5 linked regions of the Macaca fascicularis genome follow. The protein of the gene in region 4 interacts with the protein of the main gene of each other region in a pairwise test. Links are inferred from orthologs where the notes say so. Each region holds a gene or a part of one and is shown on either strand. Other genes may lie near its edges.

Evidence for each region.
Region 1: the proteins of MRFAP1L1 (region 4) and C2H3orf62 interact in binary tests that used the Homo sapiens proteins (3 or more experiments, as listed by UniProt). The two-hybrid records come from large-scale screens. The link is inferred for Macaca fascicularis from reciprocal best matches to the Homo sapiens genes MRFAP1L1 and C3orf62.
Region 2: the proteins of MRFAP1L1 (region 4) and TXN2 interact in binary tests that used the Homo sapiens proteins (3 or more experiments, as listed by UniProt). The two-hybrid records come from large-scale screens. The link is inferred for Macaca fascicularis from reciprocal best matches to the Homo sapiens genes MRFAP1L1 and TXN2.
Region 3: the proteins of MRFAP1L1 (region 4) and LNX1 interact in binary tests that used the Homo sapiens proteins (3 or more experiments, as listed by UniProt). The link is inferred for Macaca fascicularis from reciprocal best matches to the Homo sapiens genes MRFAP1L1 and LNX1.
Region 5: the proteins of MRFAP1L1 (region 4) and HTT interact in binary tests that used the Homo sapiens proteins (3 or more experiments, as listed by UniProt). The link is inferred for Macaca fascicularis from reciprocal best matches to the Homo sapiens genes MRFAP1L1 and HTT.

Annotation. Positions count from the first base shown.
Region 1 is NC_088376.1:112,265,874-112,269,888, reverse strand, and holds the start of C2H3orf62 (uncharacterized protein C3orf62 homolog), read left to right. Parts: upstream 1-1,215; 5' UTR 1,216-1,362; coding exon 1,363-1,808; intron 1,809-3,496; coding exon 3,497-3,588; intron 3,589-4,015. UniProt on the Homo sapiens protein: Essential for normal spermatogenesis and male fertility.
Region 2 is NC_088384.1:15,187,221-15,191,211, reverse strand, and holds the start of TXN2 (thioredoxin, mitochondrial), read right to left. Parts: upstream 2,801-3,991; 5' UTR 2,732-2,800; intron 2,477-2,731; 5' UTR 2,329-2,476; coding exon 2,320-2,328; intron 2,014-2,319; coding exon 1,751-2,013; intron 1-1,750.
Region 3 is NC_088379.1:80,251,690-80,255,716, forward strand, and holds the start of LNX1 (E3 ubiquitin-protein ligase LNX), read left to right. Parts: upstream 1-1,227; 5' UTR 1,228-1,537; intron 1,538-4,027.
Region 4 is NC_088379.1:6,383,725-6,387,893, reverse strand, and holds MRFAP1L1 (MORF4 family-associated protein 1-like 1), read right to left. Parts: upstream 2,671-4,169; 5' UTR 2,428-2,670; coding exon 2,044-2,427; 3' UTR 2,029-2,043; intron 1,444-2,028; 3' UTR 501-1,443; downstream 1-500.
Region 5 is NC_088379.1:3,292,314-3,296,560, forward strand, and holds the start of HTT (huntingtin), read left to right. Parts: upstream 1-1,447; 5' UTR 1,448-1,586; coding exon 1,587-1,822; intron 1,823-4,247.

The DNA of each region.
Region 1 (4,015 bases), on a different chromosome or scaffold from region 4:
CAGACTGCTAGTGTTCTGTCCAAAAACCAGACAAGGAAATACCCTTCTTTTATGAGCAGAAGGGGGAAAAAAAAAAAAAAAAGACCGTTTACCTAGAAGAAGCTATGTCAAGAGGCTGAATTATTTTTATTTTTAAACAGGTGGTGAGAAATTTCTGTGAAATCTGTGAAGCTGAAAAGGGGGTGGGATGGGGGTACACAATGGAGTATGTCTGATGGATCCCAAAGAATGGAGAGAAACACAGGCGCTGAGTATGGAGCAGCCTGGAGACCCACCCCACCTGCAGGGCTGCCCTGAGCGCCTGGATTTCTGGTTCTGATGCTGATACTAGTCACCCCAAGTAGTCTGCTCACAGTAACCCAAGCCTCAAGTAAACTCCCCTTTCCCTCGCTATGTGCACTGATACGGGTTTATAATTTTTTGAAAGTTACCCACTGAAGCCCATTTCTCCGTTGAGTCATCTTGTAATTTCCAGCTTTCTCCCCGCTAAGGAAATGAAGATATTTAGTGTTGGGGATCCTGGCTTCTCAACCTCCTGTGGAACCCAGCAGTTATGTTACATCCCCTGCTACCCTAGATGAATTAAGACGGTCAAATGCTGCGTGGAACTTTTATTAGATAACACACTTTTTATTAGGTAACACTTAAAGGAAGTCAGTACATAAAACTGCCTGGTGCTGTGTCCCATCCAGTTGTTTCCATGTTGGCTTGAGAACAGAAATCTTTGTGGGAGTTGTCAGCCTGGAAAGGGCTCCAGTTCATGACGATTTAGGGTAGTAATACATTTTGGTGTTACCCAGATGCTTTCTTGAACAGGTTCTTTCCTCATCCCTGCCAAGACTCTTACCGGGACCCGGGTCGAAAGACCCGTCCCCACTCCCACCGAGGGGCCAGCTGCTGCGTGTGGGGCCACAAGGCCTTAAGGAACCGGACATACGGGTCTGGGCTTTTTTGTTTGACCTTTAACCTAATCCGTGGGGGTCTGGGGCCTGCGCGGGGCGCGCGCATGCGATGACCGTTGGCTGGGTAGGCGTCACTGCGCTGCGGGTGAAGACAAGGACGTGGCTGCGACCTGTCGGAGGGCGGGGTGCGGGGTACGGCCGGGCGGCCTGGGAGCCGCGGTGGGGCGAGAGGCAGTAGCTGGGCGGGCCAGGAAGCTGTGGGAAGTGGGGCGGGGCGTCCTTGGGGCTTCTGGCAGATCGCGGGTTCCTCCGCGATAGCCGAGAACCGCCTACTCCAGGAGGAAAGCCCGAGGGTTGTGGGTCCTGCTGTAGCCAGGGCCAAGCTCCGGGAAATCGTGGCCGTTCAGGGGTAGTTTGCAGCCTTATTTGTAACATTATTGTGTTGCCCTGTGCATTTCCAATGCATTACATAAAGACATGGTCGCTTTTAGGAGAAATGTCTGAAAAACTAAGAAGATGCAGAAAGGAACTGACTGCAGCCATTGACCGGGCCTTTGAAGGAGTTAGTTATTCCCAGGAGTGCACAGGCCAGCGGAGGCTGGAACTGAGCGCTGCGCCGCTCTCCTCCTCGCTGCCCGTGCACAGACTCCTCTGCAGAAGACATCCTCTGGCAGCCTGCTCGTCTGCTGTTCCTTTTGCTGCTGTCCCATGTGCTCCTGAGAATGAGAACCCTGCCTTTGCAACAAACCATGCCCCGGTAAATGCAAAACCACATGCTCTGTGCCCCGAGAGAAAACCTCTGACCAGCAAGGAAAATGTATTGATGCATTCCTCCATTTTGGCATCTGAAAGAGAGTCTTGGAGAACTGCAGGAGAGGGGGAAAACTGGAGAAAAGAAAATTTAAGGTGATTCTAATTTTGATAGCTTAACAGCTACAATTAAGGGGATTGTTGTTTTTGAAAAAATTGTTGAAGATCCTAGATTTAGTTCATGACAGTGCTCTTACCTCCTCTTGGCAACTCTGTGACTGCATTTGGGGAGTTCATAGACATTCTTCAGAATCTGGCCTAGGAAACAGTTATATTTTGTGTATATGTTCCAGTTGAGGGGCTAGTTGTCAATCGTTGATGTCAAACCAGTCATGGAAACCACTTTGCAGTACCCAAAGGGGTAGTGGATGTAAAATAACCTGGTGTTTAAAATAACCTTATTTTTTAAGTTGCAGAAACAAAAGTCTTAATTCCATCTTAACTTCTGTGTTTGAATCTGGACACTGGGGCCTTTGATACCCTCCTTTGCCCACATTAGGGAGAGGCTGAATTGAAGTCTGGGCCCTACTTCCTGGCTTATCTTTGCCTCTGCTCCCCACTCTTACCCCAGAGTTTTTTGGACCATCACCAGGTCTCCTCTAGACTTTTTCTTCTCTCAAGTAACTTGAAATTGCCTGGTCCCAGACAGCTTGACTTGGAGAAGGGATGAACATAAGAGATGAAGCTTCAAAGTTCTGCCATCTTGGCTGCTTCATAGGAAGGGAATAAAGAGGCCATTTAATTCATTCAGCTCCACAAAAAATTTTTTTCCTTTCAACTCCACAAATAAATTGGTACTCATAAGCAGTGCAGGCCTTATTGGGTGTGGTGGCACGCCTGTAATCTCAGCACTGGGAGGCTGAGGTGGGTGGCTTGCTTGAGGTCTGGTGAAACCCTGTCTCTACTAAAAACACAAACAGTAGCCGAACGTGGTGGCGCGCATCTATAATCCCAGCTACTCGGGAGGCCGAGGCAGGAGAATTGCTTGAACCCAGGAGGCAGAGATTGCAGTGAGCTGAGATCTTGCCACGGCACCCCAGCCTGGGTAACAGCAAGACTCCATCTAAAAAAAAAAAAAAAATGCTGGGCATAGTGGCTCACGCCTGAATCCCAGCACTTTGGGAGGCTGAGGCGGATGGCTCACCTGAGGTCAGGAGTTTGAGACCAGCCTGGCCAACATGGTGAAACCCGTTTCTACTAAAAATAGAAAAATTAGCTGGGCGTGGTGGTGGCCGCCTGTAATCCCAGCTACTCCAGAGACTGAGGCAGAAGAATCGCTTGAACCCGGGAGGCAGAGGTTGCAGTGAGCTGTGATTGCGCCATTGCACTCCAGCTTGGGGGACAAGAGTGAGACTTCGTCTCAAAAAAATAAAATAAAATAATAAATAAATAAATGAAACAAACAAATGCAGGCTGGGTGAGGTGGCTCATGCCTGTATTCCCAGCACTTTGGGAGACCGAGGTGAGTGGATCGTATGTGCCCAGGAGTTCGAGACCAGCCTGGGCAACATGGCTAAACCCTGTCTCTAAAAAAGAAAAAAAATTAATACAGTCTGATACAGTCATGTGAGTCTGTAATACAGTCATGTGAGTTATTATGGTAAAGCTGTTAGTTTCTCCACTGACGTAGCAATTTCCAATTGTCCTCTAATCAAAGCATAAATGACAAGATCACCAGTAAGTTTTTGTCTTTGAGATTATCTAAAACTGAGTTTCCCTTCAATATTTTCTTGAAAGAGAATCTAATTCCCCACCTTTTCTTCCCCCCAACCTGGGGGCTGCAGGAAAGATATGGAGAGAGATTTGAAGGCTGACTCAAACATGGCACTCAACAATTCTAGCCAAGAGGTCACAAAGGATCTGCTTGAAATGATCGGTGAGTACAGTGGGCCAGTCCATCCTGTCCTTGGGAAGATAGGTCCTTCACATGGGTCTGAGTCAGCAAGTATCTCAGATTTAAGAAACACTCTCAGCCGGGCACAGTGGCTCATGCCTGTAATCCCAGCACTTTGGGAGGCCGAGGCGGGCAAATCACGAGGTCAGGAGTTCAAGACCAGCCTGACCAATATGATGAAACCCCGTCTCTATTAAAAATACAAAAATTGGCTGGGCCCGATGGCTCACACCTGTAACCCCAGCATTTTGGGAGGCCGAGGCAGGCGGATCACGAGGTCAGGAGATTGAGACCATCCTGGCTAACATGGTGAAACCCCATCTCTACTAAAAAATATAAAATATTAGCCGGGCATGGTGGCGGGCTCCTGTAGTCCCAGCTACTTGGGAGGCTGAGGCAGGAGAATGGC
Region 2 (3,991 bases), on a different chromosome or scaffold from region 4:
TGGTGGCAGGCACCAGCAGTCCCAGTTACTTGGGAAGCTGAGGCAGGAGAATCGTCTTAACTTGGGAGGCGGAGGTTGCAGTGAGCTGATCAAGCCACTGCAGTCCAGCCTGGGTGACAGAATGAGACTCTGTCTCAAAAACAAAAAAAAGAAAAAAAAACCCTCAGGCCTGGTGCAGTGGTTCACGCCTGTAATCCCAGCACTTTGGGAGGCCAAGGTGGGAGGACTGCTTGAGATCAGGAGGTAGAAACTGCAGTGAGTCGTGATCACACCATTGCACTCTACATTCTAGCCTGGGTGACGGAGTGAGACCTTGTCTCTAAAAGAAGAAAAACAAAAACAACTCATAACACCTAAAAACCCAGCATGCAAGACCTTATCTCCTATTACAAGTGAAGAAGGGAGCACAAAGAGATCAAGCGGCCTGCCCAAGGCCACAGGGTAAGTCAGAGAAACAACTGGAAAGATGGCAGAACAATCTGTCAGAGACTGACCAGAAGGCCCTTCAATTTCTTTTTCTTTCTTTTTTTTTTTGAGATGGAGTTTCCCTCTGTCACCCAGGCTAGAGTGCAATGGCGCAATCTCAGCTCACTGCAACCTCCACCTCCCAGGTTCAAGTGATTCTCCTGCCTCAGCCTCTTGGGTAGCTGGGATTACAGGTGGCCGCCACCAGGCCCACCTAATTTTTGTATTTTTAATAGAGACGGGGGTTTCACCACGTTGGCCAGGCAGGTCTCGAACTCCTGACTTCAGGTAATCCACCCGCCTCGGCCCCTGAAAGTGCTGGGATTACAGGTGTGAGCCACTGTGCCCGACCTGAAGGCCCCTGAATTTTTAACTTCTGCTACACTGGTTTCTCCCAGGATGCCACATTCAGAGGGCTTTGTCCAGTTTTTGTGTAGCTGGGTCTCTAGCCAGGCCCCAAAGGTCTAGAAACAAAAAAGGCCAGGCTAAAAATCAGAAAGCCAGAGGGACTTAAATATCTCTAAAGCAAACTCAAGACAGCACTGAAAGGACACTCCTTCCTATGCCCTGTATGCTTGGACACCATGGTAATGACACTAACTTTTTTTTTTTTTGAGATGGAGTTTCGCTCTTTTTGCCCAGGCTGGAGTGCAATGGCATGATCTTGGCTCACTGCAACCTCCGCCTCCTAGGTTCAAGTGATTTTCCTGCCTCAGCCTCCTGAGTAGCTGGGATTACAGGTGAGCACCACCACACCTGGATGTAGAGATGGTGTTTCACCATGTTGGCCAGGCTGGTCTCAAACTCCTGACCTCAGGTGATCTGCCTGCCTCAGCCTCTCAAAGGTGTGCCTCGGCCTCTCACTACAGGTGTGAGCCACTGTGCCCGGCCGACACTGATAACTTTTTGCCAGCCCTTCTTGCAGTTTTCACGGCAAGGTATTAAAATAAACTCATCTGCAGGGCCAGGAACTGATATACACCAAAAGCAAGGTGACAGTCATATTTTTCCAACTCTGGTCCATGTTGAAGATGACGCTGAGCTTTCTGGACATTAAGAAACAGAACATGTGTTTCCCAGCACTAACTGCAGTCAGCTTGCAGACTGTTCACTCATCTGTCTTCTACTAGACTGTACTCCCCTTGAGGGCAGGGACTAGGCCTGACCAGTCTGTATACTGAGTCTACATATGAGCAGCATAGAACATGGTCCTGGGACATAGCAGGCATTCAACAAATACTTGAACAAGTAGGACCCTAGTCTTCCGTGGACCCCCAATACTCACTGTGCGTGGAAATCCACAACCACTGGCGTCTCACTGTTGACCACTCGGTCTTGAAAGTCAGGTCCATCCTGGATATTAAAGGTCGTCAAGGAGATCCTGGTGGTGTATATTGTCCGGGCTGGGTTGAGTGTTACAGTCAGGCCACCAGGACTGCATTGTGGGGTCTGCAGGGCTCTGGAAGTGAGGGGTGGCCACCGACCCTGAGAAGGATTCCTGGAGATGATGGAGGCCAGGAACCTCCTTAGGAGAAGTCGCTGAGCCATCTGTGAGGGAAGAGGCAGAAGAATTGGGGCACACAAAAGGAAGCTGACACACTAGAAAAATAAAGAGATTTGGGGATTAGTCGGGGCTCAAGAAGAGGCAGAGTGGGAAGCAAAATGCAAGGAAATAATATGTAAGATTTGTAGCGTAGAAGTGAGGAAGCTGAGAAACAAAGGAAAGGAACAGCTAGGCAAACCAGAAGGACAGGAAAACTGGCTTCACAACCAAAAAGAAATCGGGATTTAGATTATAACAGAAGAACGGGAGGGAGAAACCAACATTTAATAATTTATGTAAGGACCAAGTACCTTACACATATTCTTGATCTTCCTACAGCAACTTTGAGGAAGTTGCTATTGTACTGCCCACATTGCAAATAAGGAAAGGCATCCGAGGCTCAAGTAAGTTAATGACATGCCCAAAGTAACCCTACTACTGACAGCCAACACTGGAACCCAGGGTCGTCTGAAAAGATGAAACGCAACAATTGAAGGAGGATCTAAGAGTATGGTAGGAACCAAAAACGAAGAGACATGTACTGGAGGGAACTAATAAAGAAGGGACATGAATGGAGGGAACTGGGAAAAATCGGACGCCACCAGGGACCCCGGCTCTCCGGCGAGCTAGGTCCCCCCCACCCGTCCGGCCGCCAGCCTGCGCAGGAACGCGCTCGCGGCATGCCTATCACACCACCTCAAGCCAGCCCCACTGAGCTCCTACCTCCCTGCAACGCGAGCGGAGGGATGCACAGCTTAGCCCTCCCTGCCTGTCAAGGGCACTTCTGTCGTCACTTCCTCAGGGAGGCGGACATTAACGTCACTTCCGGGGACAGGCAGGCGGAACACCATCCCTCTCGAATATTTTTTTTTGAGACGGAGTCTCGCTCTGTCGCCAGGCTAGGGTGCAGTGGCGCGATCTCGGCTCACTGCAACCTCCGCCTCCCGAGTTCAAGCGATTCTCCTGCCTCGGCCTCCCGAGTAGCCGGGACTAGAGGCGCACGCCACCACGCACAGCTAATTTTTGTATTTTTAGTAGAGGCGGGGTTTCACCATATTGGCCAGGATGGTCTCCATCTCTTGACTTCGTGATCCGCCCGCCTCGGCCTCCCAAAGTGTTGGGATTACCGGCGTGAGCCACAGCCCCCGACCTGTCCCTCTCTAATTTGAGGAGCGTCTGGGATTTTCCGCCAATGGGAATGGCGGGAGGAGGCACAACTGAAAGGGCGGGGCCTCAGCTAGGGACCGGAAGCAATGGGCAGGCCGTCGGGGGAGGGATTGGAAGAGGCGGGCAGGCCCTGGTCGAGACGAAGGCTGGCGCGGGGCGGAACCGGAAGGGGTGGGCGGGCCCTAGAGGAGGGACCGGAAGAGGAGGTGATGGCGCCGGGGTAGCAATGAAGGGTGCTTAAGGGAGAAAAGGCAGTTGAGAGGTCCCCGTGGTTTTTGATTTTGTCAACTACTGTTGCTTGATTTTAATTATATTTATTTATTGGTTAATGACAGAGTCTCGCTCTGTCTCCCAGGCTGGAGTTGCAGTGGCGCGATCTCGGCTCACTGCAACATCCAACTCCCGGGTTCAAACGATTCTCCTGCCTCAGCCTCCCAGGTAGCTGGGATTACAGGCGCGCGCCATCACGCCGGGCTAATTTTTGTATTTTTAATAGAGATAGAGTTTCGCCATGTTGGCCAGGCTGGTCTGGAACTCCTGAGCTCAAGTGATCCGCCCGCTTCAGCTTCCCAAAGTGCTGGGATTACAGGCGTGAGTCACTTTGCTTGGCCTCCTGTTTATAACTGGCGCCGTCCACTTCCTACAGATGTTGACAGGTTCTGTTTCTTCATTTAATAAGTAAAGCTAAGCTCTTCAAAGGCATGGTGCCCTTTATATGTAAAAGAACTCACCCGTGGTTTAGGGGTCATCCTTAAATGGCCCTCGTCTGTGTCCACCTAAAGGAAAACAAAAACTGAGGCGAGCTTAATTTAAGCA
Region 3 (4,027 bases), about 74 Mb from region 4:
TGGCAATTTTGCCTCATTCACTCCGTGGATTATTGATTAAAAGAAACTTGTAGCAGCTGGCTCCGAAAGTCAAAGGGACAAAGTGGCAATCAGGCCATGACCAAAATGCACACAGAGGCCAAGGAATTTGCAGTGTACTTCCTTGTTTGTAAATCAGAGTCACAGTGGAGAGCTGAAGGCACCGCAGCCAGCGGCACCACCTGTAATTAGGGAGCCACAAGTACCTGCACTCCATGTGTCTTTCTTGCATGTTGCACATACATAAGATAACACCGAGCTCCCGATTCACATCTCTGGAAAGAGACTACTTAATTCACTAATTATTCACATTTCTACTTAGAATCGAATTCCCAGAGCTTATCGCTTATTTAAGCAAAATCTTTGGCCATCACTGGAGCTGTCATCCCACAGAAGTGCTTAAGCAAACCAGTGGGAAAAGCAAAACTCAGAAAAGCACACTTCCAGAAGCGCAACGTTTACATTTTTAACTAGCTGGGTCACTTTGCAGGAACGACTTAATGTCTCTAATCCTCAGTTTCTTTATCTATATAATGGGAGTGATAATTATAGATTCTGTTGAGAATTAAATTAAATAATGCAGGTCAGGTAATTACTACAGAACCTGGTAGGCAGTAAGCACTTAATAAATGTTAGCAAAGATGTTGCAGCGGCTGACAATGATGGCGATGGTAATGCTGAAGAATGAGCAGAAGAAATCCTTATTTAAACAATCATTCTGTATCTTTAGAGTTAAGAGTCTTAAGTAGTATCAGCCACAAACTTGCTCAGTCTTTTTCTTTGTCCACAAACATTAGCCAGTGTTCAGTTATGAGCAATACTGCCGAGAGAAAATCTTTGAAAGTTTTGGCAAGGTATTGGAACAAGTCAGAACTACTTATTTGCCTGATATAGATTTTGGTGCATGTCCCTTTTCATATTCAAAAATAAAAGATGCCCAGGATTCTAGGGCCTGTCCAGTCAGCAGCCCCTGCCTATTAGCATGATAATGTTCCAGACCTAATGATGGCCTGAAGGTGTGGTGACCCTGTGTTTATTTCCTTGTTGATTTCCCTTCTCTGGCTCCAAGATCATTTTCCCATTGCCCACAGGAAACAACATCTAGGGGCGAGGTAGGCCTGACTTGGCAACCCTAAAGGTGAACAAAAGGATCTTGGCTTTTGGCAAAAGCAGAAGGAAGTTCAGGGGCGTCTCAGCCCCATCCAAACCAGAATAGATTTGTCACTGATGCTAATGCATGCTGCTCTGCAGGGGACCACTCTCCCGCTAAGCTCTCCATAGCTGCTCTCAGTTTTATGAATCTGCTCTACCCAAAGCCTTGCAGAAGGGACAGGGGATGCCCTGGTTAACCCCTGCATGTACAATGGTGGAGCAGTTTTGATGCATAGCTGGGACACAGAATACTGGAAAGAGAAAGAAAAATTTCCTGAGCTACTGCTAAGCCAGCAAAACTCATCTCTCAAACGGACTATCACCTGAGACTTCACACAGCTGGGAACTGATCCGCAATACAGCAAAGGTAAGATGGCCTAGTTCCTCTACAAGGTAGAATCTCATACCATTTTTTAAAAATGTCACCTCTGCCCACTCAGCCCCCAGTTCTCACCTCTCTCTCTCTCTCTCTCTCTCTCTCTCTCTCTCTCTCTCTCACACACACACACACACACAGACACACACACCCCCCAAACTGAGGAGAGTCTAAAAGATGGAAATATCTAGGTGTGTCTTTTTGAAAACACTAGAAACGCCTTGGCATTTCCTCTCTTTATACCCTATTTTTTTCTGCAGTGGCCTTCATTCAAAGCTTATTTACTTTGACAAATGAAAACGACTTGCCAGACAGATCAGTAAAAATATAAGTAATCCCACTAACAGTAACTGGGTTTATGCGACAATATTCTTTATCGGTATTTAAAACACATTCACACACAGACTTTGTTTCATTCCACAGTAGGAGTAGGTGTTGCATTGTAGTTTTACCCATGGATAAAGAGGTTGAGAGAAGCTGTGACCTGCTCATGGATGTGTAGAGTTGTGGGTGACCAGCAGCACATCCTGTCTTCATTCCTATCTCTTTTCAGTAGAATGGTGACCCTACTCTTTACAGAAAATTCCAGACTACATTCTTGGCCATGTATTCTGACAAATGGTCTGATGAGAGGATGGAATTTTAGAAATTGGAACTCTCAGGAAAATCCAGAAATAGATAGCCACAGTATCCTGTACAATACACCACCTTGTCATGTATTCCTGTTTACTTCCATTCCTGGGCATTGAATTCAGTTCAACAAATGTCGATAAACTATGTTCCCTGCTCCAACACTGACTGGCTCATATGTCAGGGCGTGGTGCAAGTCCTGTGCCCAAGGAATGCTGAGGCAGTGCAGAGTAGGATGGCGGGGTGGGGGGCTTCCCTAAAGAGGTGAGCTTCAAGTAAGCTCAGCATAAAGAGTGGACTTGGATTGAGGGAGAGCATTCAGATACACAAATCCCCCGGGAGGAATTTGTTGAGTGAACATTTACTTACACCAAGTCCATGGTGGCAGAGCTGAGGGGCAAGGAGCACAGCCTGAGGAATTAGACTGTCTGGCCTTGACTCTTGGTTCTACTTCCCACTAGCTCTGCATCTTGGAGTACCTCAGTTAACACCGCTAACCTCACCTTGCCAATATGTAAAATGAGAATGATGGTAATACATCCCTCATAAGGTTGTCTTCAGCTGTGAATGATTATGTATGGGAAGTCTTTCCTGATGCATAACAACTGCACAATAAATATTAATACTAACTAGTGTGATGACCATGTGCCTGGCTCCAAGGGAGATGCAGGGAATACAGATAAGAGGAGGCCTACCCTCAGTGTAATCAAAACGTCATGAGTTAGTTGTGTGCAGCTAATGACATGAGATGTGATGCATGCTCTGGAACCACGAGGGTGGAATCTTTTAAGTCTGTGTGAGTTAGGGTTGGGGTTCTGGGGGGACAGGGAAGGGGGCAGAGGTTTCACAGCAGAGGCCCTATGTGTAGGGCGGTAGTATAGATCAGTGAAAAGAGCTAGACAGATCTAATTTTGAATCCCAGTTTCCTCCTCTATTTACGTATCTATTTATTTCTATATTAATCTATATGTATTGAAAGCCATAAATTCATACTGCCAATTCATACTTCCAATTCATACTTCCAATTCCAATCCAACACTCCCTTTCTACATTTGTAACTCCCTTCTCTAACATTCATCAGAAGCTGGCTCCCATTATCCTTAATATATTATATGCTTATTCACTCAATCCCCCAAATGTCATCAACTGCCATCATGACACTGTCCCCTGCCCCATGCAGACGCCCTCCGCACCCTGACGCTTTGTTCTGGGCCGCCCTGAGCTGGCTCCTGGAATTCTGGAGCTACCATATGTCCTCCACACGCGCACAGGTGCCTACTTTGCTCAGCCCTATGTAATGTCTTTAAGGACTGTGACACATGCTATACATTTGTGTATGTACCTGTGTTGTCACTGTCTTTGGAGGGGGATAGAGCTATCTCCTCCATACAGGTAGGGCACATGTCCTCAGCATCAGGCCTGAAGAAGCCAGGCTCATTCCATTCATTCTATTCCACTTGGTCTGCTGATCTATATGGATGTGGACTGCTCACTGTATGCTCGGGGTAGTAACAACATTTCCAGGGGTGAAAAGTACTATTTGGGCAGTCACTGTTCCTTTTGCTTCTCTGTCAAGTCCTTGTCTAGGTTCTCCATTATTCATTTACTTAACAACAGATATGAAGCACTTACAAGGTAACTGGTGCTTGGTTAGGGTGGGACATAGAGATTTAAAACCTTAGTCACCACCCTCAAGGAACTCCCAGTCCACTGTGGGAAGCAGACAAGCCATAAATTTCCATTCCATGTGGCCAAGTGCAATGAGAGCCTACACAGCCTGCCATCAGAGGGCACCTAGCTCAGACTGGGTGGGCACAGAGGAGATACCCAAGGGGAATCCTAAATGGGCAG
Region 4 (4,169 bases):
TCCCCAGTGCTGGAACTCAAAAGGCTTTTGCTCACTTTGATCCTTATGCCTTATATGTCTTCATTCATTTCTACTTTTCAGGCCCAGGTAAGTCACCTGCTCTGAATTCACACACTTCCCTACTAAGAGTTGACTCCCTCCTCAGGGCTCCCACATGATATCCACACACTCTATATCGCAATTCCTTGTTTCCATTTCTGTCCCACACCTTCGTCCCATCCATGTCTCACCTTTATGTTCCTAGTGCCTTGGATAAGATATGAAGCACGTTACATTCCCACTGGTTGACTAAACACACTTCTGCTGCTGAAAAGCAGGGGCTTGGCCCAGAGGATAGCCGAAAAGTTTTTCTCTTCAGAACTGAGTGTTCCGTCAGCTCATCTCCACAGCACCTTCCAGAAATAATTCTCCCTCAGTTAAAGGCTTACCAAGAGCCTTTAACTACAAGCAGTTCAACCCCATTTGATGACACTCAGTGAAGAACATCCATTTCAAAAAGATTGATTTATGATTCTTTTATTAACACACACAGGAGGGGCTTTGGTCATGTGAACAAAAAATTTATTTTTTAAAAAAGGCTTTTTAGGTCTTTGTTTTTCAAGGCAAATTAATACTTACTATACGTTTGACTTTGACCTCCAATCTGACAGGTCTACTACCCTGATGAACTGGAAGAGACTTTCCAGGCCCTGATAATGTCTTTTCCTTTCTCTGGCCTCTTAAAGCTCTTTGTAGACTGTCTCTTCGATGCCATTCTCTGATGCCCCTGTAATGTGTGAGGGTATTACGACAGTTCCTAATCAAACTGCCTTGTCATAAAAGGTCAGCTATGTGGTCTAAATCAACTCACCTGACAGGTTACACAATATATATCAGACAATGTGCCACAAAACATAGCTCTCCTCTTTCATCTCACAGAGGAACTAAAGTTCCAAAATATATACAAAACCACCTTCCATCTCCAACTGTCTTCTCGTTCTTCCCAGCTTTATGCAAAGCAGTCTCATTAATACATTCTTCACCAGGCTCAACCAGGCAGCGTAGTATCTTCCACTGCACCTCTAAAGTTGGAAGATTCTGATCCCAAGTCTTGACGTGTTCCAAAAAACGATCAGGTCACAAAGGTAACAGCAAAATACAAGGCCATGCCCAACATTTCAAAAACACAGCGAAGTAACAAGAATAAACGTGACCACGAAAACAACTTAATTAAGCCCCATTTCTCTTGTGAAAGTATTTCTTCGACAAAAGTTGTATTTCCAGAACCAAACACATTTGATGATCTAAATCCATATCGAGGTCATCAATCACTGACCATAAGGGAGACTGTTACATGGGGGTAAAAAACATACAAAAACAAAACAGAGAAAATGACAAGCTGTTTCAGTTTCCTCAAGGTGTCAGTTCATCCTTACCAGTTGACTACAGTCCTCAGCTGTGAACCTAAAGCACAATTGGGAGAAATTTACCATGAAGACATTGACTCTCAAAGTTCCATATCTTGATGTTAAAAATAAATGTGAACCACCCAGAAGAATGCCACTTCTTTGAGACACGGTCCTCTGACATACCTGTCTCATAGAACAGTCTGGAAATTTCAGGTAATGGCCTCTGGCTTTACTCTTTTATTTCTTTCCCTGCGTTCTCAGCCTGCGTTCCATTGTGCTCCACAGCCTAGGTCTTCTGTGGCTTTCCCCAAACTCCCTTAGTGCCGAGACAGGTCTACTTCCTGGCGACTGCCCTATTAGAACTGACTTACGTTTCACAAAAACAAACCCGAAGTTACTTTTATTTTTCTCTAATTACCAGTGTGGGAGGGCGAGGCCACAAAAAAACGGTATACTAACACCTAACAAAACCAGCACGCATTCTTTCCTCTTGACCCCAACTTTGTTCCCAATGCTCAATTTTTGATGCGATAAAATGGGGGATGCAGGCCTAGAACATAACTTTTTACAGGGCGCGGTTTAACCATGCTTAGGGGGACTACTGAGTTCCATCCAAGCTCCCGCGAGTTTCCGACCTTACCGCCGATCTCCTCCTTCAAGAAGACTCGCTTCTCTCTATTCGCCAGACGAGCTCGACCAGCATCTCTGCCATCTTCGCAATCTCCTTGGCCTTCTCCTCAGCCTTCTCGCACAACTCCGACACTCTCTCGTCGGCTTCGCCACTCGGGTGCTGCACGTGATTGAGGGCGCTCTCCTCCGAGGCCTCTACCTGCGTTTTGATCTGGATGAGCATATTGTCCATCTCCCACAGCTTGCTCCTGGTTCGCAGGTACGCCCGCCCGTGCTCGCGTATAAGAGACGCGATGTCCTCGCGCATCTCGTTGATGACCGGGAGCAGGAACTGCTCGAAGTCCTCCTCCGGCTCCAGCACCTCCACTTCCTCAGGCGCTTCCACCTCGTCTATGTCCAGGGGCCGCATCTCCTCCTGCCGCTTCTTCAGTACCGGAGGGGCGTTCTTCTTACCGGAACCCCCCAGGGACTGGAGATCAGCAGTGATTGCTGGAGGCTGAGCCCACACGCTTTGTCAATAGTACTCCCGAATTATCTTTACTTTTTTTCTTCCTTTTAATTGTAAGCCTTTAGCTTTAGAACTCCGTGGGAAGAATCGCCGTGGATACACACAGCAAAGCGACCTGCGAAATGGAGTCGCAGCCGTCAACTCGCCCTCGGCCTTTTTGCGGCCCTTTCACGACAGAGCCGGGCTCCTTTACGGTCACGCCTTCGGCGAGACCCAGTAGCGGGCGCGCGCACGTAAAGGGGTCTCGGGCGCGCGCATGGCTATCCCCGTCAGCTTCCCGGCGCCCCGCCTCGCCCTCTTCTCTAATTTAGATTGGTGGCGGCAGGTTTGTTCGCGTCTTCCCCTAAAGCTTCCCTTCAGAGGGGTTTTACTTTTATTATTATTTTTTTAAAGTAAAAATGACCCTCCCTTCCCCATATTTGAATAAGACTGGCTGGCGTTCACAGCGCTTACTATCTAAGCATGCAGAAGCTTGGATTAATTTATATGAATTCACTTAGCCCTCACAACGAACCTATAAGAGAAGTAAAAACCGGGCTAAAAGTCGTGATTTGAGCTCAAAGCAATGTGGGTCCACAGTCCCTGCTCAGTGTTCTAGAATGGAACTCGTCCCTCTGTCCTCCCCACCCCTGGCTCATACTTTTGTTCTGGGGGGAATTTCGCTCGCTGCCTTGGGTGGTTCTGGCCCGTGATTTTTGGTCTCTCTTCAGAGTCTGTAAGGTCCTCAAGGTAAAGGGCAACTTCTGTTTCAGTTCTGTCCTCCGCCCTTTCCGTCAGCCTGGCGTCAAGCAGGGCCTTAGAGAATGCTTTAGAGAGAGGAATTGCCTAGTACCTAAGTGCCTCTACCAGACTGGAGGCTGTTTGGGGACAGGTTCTGGTCTTGGTCACCTTTATGTCCCTCCACACACAAGACCTGAAAATGAGCAGGGACCTAGTAAATGTGGCTTTGATCGTCAATACGTTTTGATCACCAACCTAATGCCATTGTGGAATGGAAGAAGTCTATTGCTAGGCTTAGTCACCCAGTGCCACACTAGTAGTAATATGAGTGTGTGTAGAGGGGGGATCCTTCTTACACAAGTGCCACAGATCAGAACTTCAGTTTTCCAGTCTGATAAAGACCAATGGCCCCAGCCTGAATATCTGTCAGTGGGAAGAGGGATTTGTAAGATGACGTGTGCGAAACAGTTTTGCAAACACCAACATTCCAGCAGATGTTCATCAAAAGAACATTAAGAGGGAAAGAGCAAGGCACCGTGAAAAAAGATATTTGACTCATGCAGAATATATTGAGAACTCCTATAGATCAAGAAGGAAAAGACAAAATTTTAAAACAGGCAAAAGACATAGGCTGGCACTTCACAAAAGAGAATATCCGAATGGCCAATAAGTATATGAAGAGGTTTTCAACTTCATGATTCAACAGGGAAATGCAGATTAGAAAGCACAACGAGGAAGCACTGTACATCCACTAGAATTACTAAAATTGAAAATACTGACAATACCAAGTATTGGGGAAGATGTGGAACAACTGGAACTCTTATACATTCTTGATGGATGTCTTAGTCTAGTCTGAACACCATAACAAAATACTATAGACTGGGTGGCTTAAACACAGACATTTATCTTCTCACAGTTCTAGA
Region 5 (4,247 bases), about 3.1 Mb from region 4:
CACAGAGCAGGGGACTCTGGGTTGCAGGTGTGGCCTGGCTTGAGTAGGCTTTAGTGGGCTTCTCTCTGCCTGCACCACCCCCGGGCTGGGTGGTTGTCTCTGAGGCCAACCCTACTCCCTAATGGGCAGGCTGGACAGCTGCCCTCTCTGTTTGCCCCTCTACCACCCAAAAGGCGGGAGGCTCTGGAGACCAGGACCCTGCCTGCGCCGGCCTGTGCCCCAGGCGTGAGGGGGTGCCCCACAGATCTCTGCTGAGCTGAGGCTGAATGGCACCCCTTGGGGGTCCTGCCAGGTCAGAGCAGGGTGCTTTCCCATACAGAAACGCCCCCAGGTCGGGACTCATTCCTGTGGGAGGCGTCTTGTGGCCACCGCTGCTTCTCGCTGCACTAATCACAGTACCTCTGTGGGCAGCAGGCGCTGACCATCCGGGCCTGCCTCAGACCCTCTCCTCCCTTCCGGGGCGCTGCGCTGGGACCGATGGGGGGCGCCAGGCCTGTGGGCACCGCCCTGCAGGGGCCGCTCCAGCTCACTGGAGGGTGGGGAGGGTCACACTTGGGGTCTTCAGATCGCGCCGACCACGCGCAATCTCTGCGCTCTGCGCAGGGGCTCGCCCACCCTCTCCCCGTGCAGCGAGTCCCCAGCAGGCTCCCCGCAGGGCTGTCCAGGTGAGCCTGGCTCTGGCCGCGGGCCAGTGTGGCGGGCGGGCAAGCCCCGAGGCCACCTCGGCTCAGAGCCCACGGCCGGCTCTCGCCCAGCTCCAGACGTCTGCGAGGGTTCCATTCCGCTTGGGCCGGCGCCCCGCGCGCCGCGCCCTGGCCCCGCCCCGCCCTGGCCCCGCCCCTCCCTCACCCCGCCCCCTCTGCACCCCACCCCTCCCTGGCCCCGCCCTCCGCGCCCCACCTCTCATCTTCCCGCCCCACCCCCAGCCACGCCCCTCACGGTCAGCCCCCTCCCCTATCCGCCCCGCCTCTCATCGTCTCGCCTCGCTCCGCCCCTCAGCCGTCCCGCCCCTCAGGCGCCCTGCCTAATGTCCCCGCCCCCAGCCTCGCCCCGCTCCGCCCCAGCCTCGCCCCGCCCCGCCCCTCAGGCGCCCTGCCTGCTGTGCCCCGCCCCAGCCTCGCCACGCCCCTCGTTACCATGTAGTCCCGCCCCGTTCCTTCCGCGTCCCGCCTCGCCCTGCCCCTTCACAGCTTCGCCCCACCCCATTACAGTCTTGCCACGCCCCGTCCCCTGTCCGTTGAGCCCTGCTCCTTCGCCCAGGTGGGGCGCTGCGCTGTCAGAGGCTTTGGTGGCTCTGTGAGGCAGAACATGCGGGCGCAGGGACTGGCTGGCTCCCTGGCCAGTCATTGGCAGAGTCCGCAGGCTAGGGCTGTCAATCATCCTGGCCGGCGTGGCCCCGCCTCCGCCGGCGCAGCGTCTTGAGACGCAAGGCGCCGCGGGGGCTGCCGGGACGGGTCCAAGATGGACGGCCGCTTCGGTTCCGCTTTTACCCGCGGCCCAGAGCCCCATTCATTGCCCCGGTGCTGAGCGGCGCTGCGAGTCGGCCCGAGGCCTCCGGGGACTGCCCAGCCGGGCGGGAGACCGCCATGGCGACCCTGGAAAAGCTGATGAAGGCCTTCGAGTCTCTCAAGTCCTTCCAGCAGCAGCAGCAGCAGCAGCAGCAACAGCCACAGCCGCAGCCGCCGCCGCCGCCGCCGCCGCCTCCTCCTCAGCTTCCTCAGCCGCCGCAGGCACAGCCGATGCTGCCTCAGCCGCAGCCGCCCCCGCCGCCGCCCCCGCCACCACCCGGCCCGGCTGTGGCTGAGGAGCCGCTGCACCGACCGTGAGTTTGGGCCCGCTGCAGCTCCCTGTCCCGGCGGGTCCCAGCCTACGGCGGGGATGGCGGAATCCTGCACCCTGCGGGCCGGCGACACGAACCCCCCCGGCCCCGCAGCGACAGAGTGACCCAGCAACCCAGAGCCAATGAGGGACACCCGCCCCCTCCTGCGGCGAGACCTTCCCCCACTTCAGCCCCGGTCCCGCACTTGGGTCTTGTCCTCCCGCGAGGGGAGGCAGAACCTCGTTGGGACCTGTCCTGAATTCACGGAGGGGAGTCACGGCCTCAGCCCTCTCGCCCTTTCCAGGGTGCGAAGAGTTGGGGCGAAAACTTGTTTCTTTTTATTTGCGAGAAACTAGGGCGGGGGTTTAACTGTGTTCTGAAGAGAACTTGGAAGAGCCGAGATTTGCTCAGGGCCACTTCCCTCATCTAGTCAGAGAGGGAAGAGGGCTGGGGGCGCGGGACACCTCGAGAGGAGGCGGGGTTTGGAGCTAGAGAGATGTGGGGGCAGTGGATGACATAATGCTTTTAGGACGCCTCGGCGGGAGTGGCTGGGGTGGGGGGCGGGGAGTGAGGGCGCGTCCAATGGGAGATTTATTTTCCAAGTGGCACTTAAAACAGCCTGAGATTTGAGGCTCTTCCTACATTCTCAGGGCATTTCATTTAGTTCATGATCGCGGTGGTAGTAACACGATTTTAAGCACCACCTAAGAGACCTGCTCATCTAAGCGCAAGTTAGTGTGCAGGCATTTGAATGAGTTGTGGTTGCCAAATAAGTGGTGAACTTACGTGGTATTAATAAAATTATCTTAAATATTAGGAAGAGTTGATTGAAGTTTATTGCCTGTTTGTGTTGGGAATAAAACTAACACGTTGCTGAGGGGGAGGTTAATTGCCGAGGGATGAATGAGGTATACATTTTACCAGTATTGCAGTCAGGCTTGCCAGAATATGGGAGGTCTGCAGACTCCGTGGACATCTCATGTGCCAGTGAAAGGGTTTCTGTTCGCCTCATTGCTGACAGCTTGTTACTTTTTGGAAGCTAGAGGTCTCTGTTGCTTGTTCTTGGGGAGAATTTTTGAAACAGAAAAAGAGACCATTAAAACATCTAGCGGAACCCCAGGACGTGGGAGTGTGTGCTGAGTGTTTAGCAGGATTTAGGAAGTACTCCGCTGCAGTTCAGGCCTTTCTCTTACCTCTCAGTGTTCTATTTCCGATCTGGACGTGTATCAGATGGCATTTGATAAGAATATCTCTATTAAGACTGATTAATTTTTAGTAATATTTCTTGTTCTTTGTTTCTGTTATGATCCTTGCCTTGTCTTGAAAGTTTAATTAGAAGAGGAGGATTTGGAGAGCAGTGTTAGCTTATTTGTTAGAGTAAAATTTAGGAATAAATTCTTCTAAAGGATGGAAAAACTTTTTGGATATTTAGAGAAATTTTTAAACAATTTGGCTTATCTCTTCAGTAAGTAATTTCTCATCCTTCCAGAAATTTACTGTAGTGCCTTTCTAGGAGGTAGGTGTCATAGAAGTTCACACATTGCATGTATCTTGTGTAAACACTAAACTGGGCTCCTGATGGGAAGGAAGACCTTTCTGCTGGGCTGCTTCAGACACTTGATCATTCTGAAAATATGCCGTCTCTTTCCTGTGCTGATTTGATAGAACCTGCGTTTGCTTATCTTCAAAATATGGGTATCAAGAAATTTCCTTTGCTGCCTTTACAGAGGAGATAGATTTTGTTTCATTACTTTATTTTAAGGTAATATATGATTACCTTATTTTAAAAATTTAATCAGGCCTGGCAAGGTGGCTCATGCCTTTAATCCGAGCACTTTGGGAGGCTTAGGCGGATGAATCACCTGAGGTCAGGAGTTCGAGACCAGTCTGGCTAACATGGTGAAACCCCATCTCTACTAAAAGTACAAAAATTAGTTGGTCATGGTGGCACGTGCCTGTAATGCCAGCTACCTGGGAGGCTGAGGCAGGAAAATCGCTGGAACCCGGGAGGCAGAGGCTGCAGTGAGCTGAGACTGCGCCACTGCACTCCAGCCTGGGTGCCAGAGCGAGACTCTTGTCTCAAAAAAAAAAAAAAAAAAAGAAATTATTATTTTTGCATAAGTAATACATTAACATGACACAAATTCCGTAATTACAAAAGAGCAATACTTAAAATATCTTCCTTCCACCCCTTTCATCTGAGTACCTAACTTTGTCCCCAAGAACAAGCACTATTACAGTTCCTCCTGTATCCTGCCAGATATAATCTATGCATATTGTAAGATAGATTTAAAATGCTGTAAAAATAAAAGTAGTTTACGGTAATAATTTTTTTTCTTTATTTTTTTTGAGATGTAGTCTCACATTGTCACCCAGGCTGGAGTGCGGTGGTATGATCTTGGCTCACTGCAACCTCCACCTCCCAGGT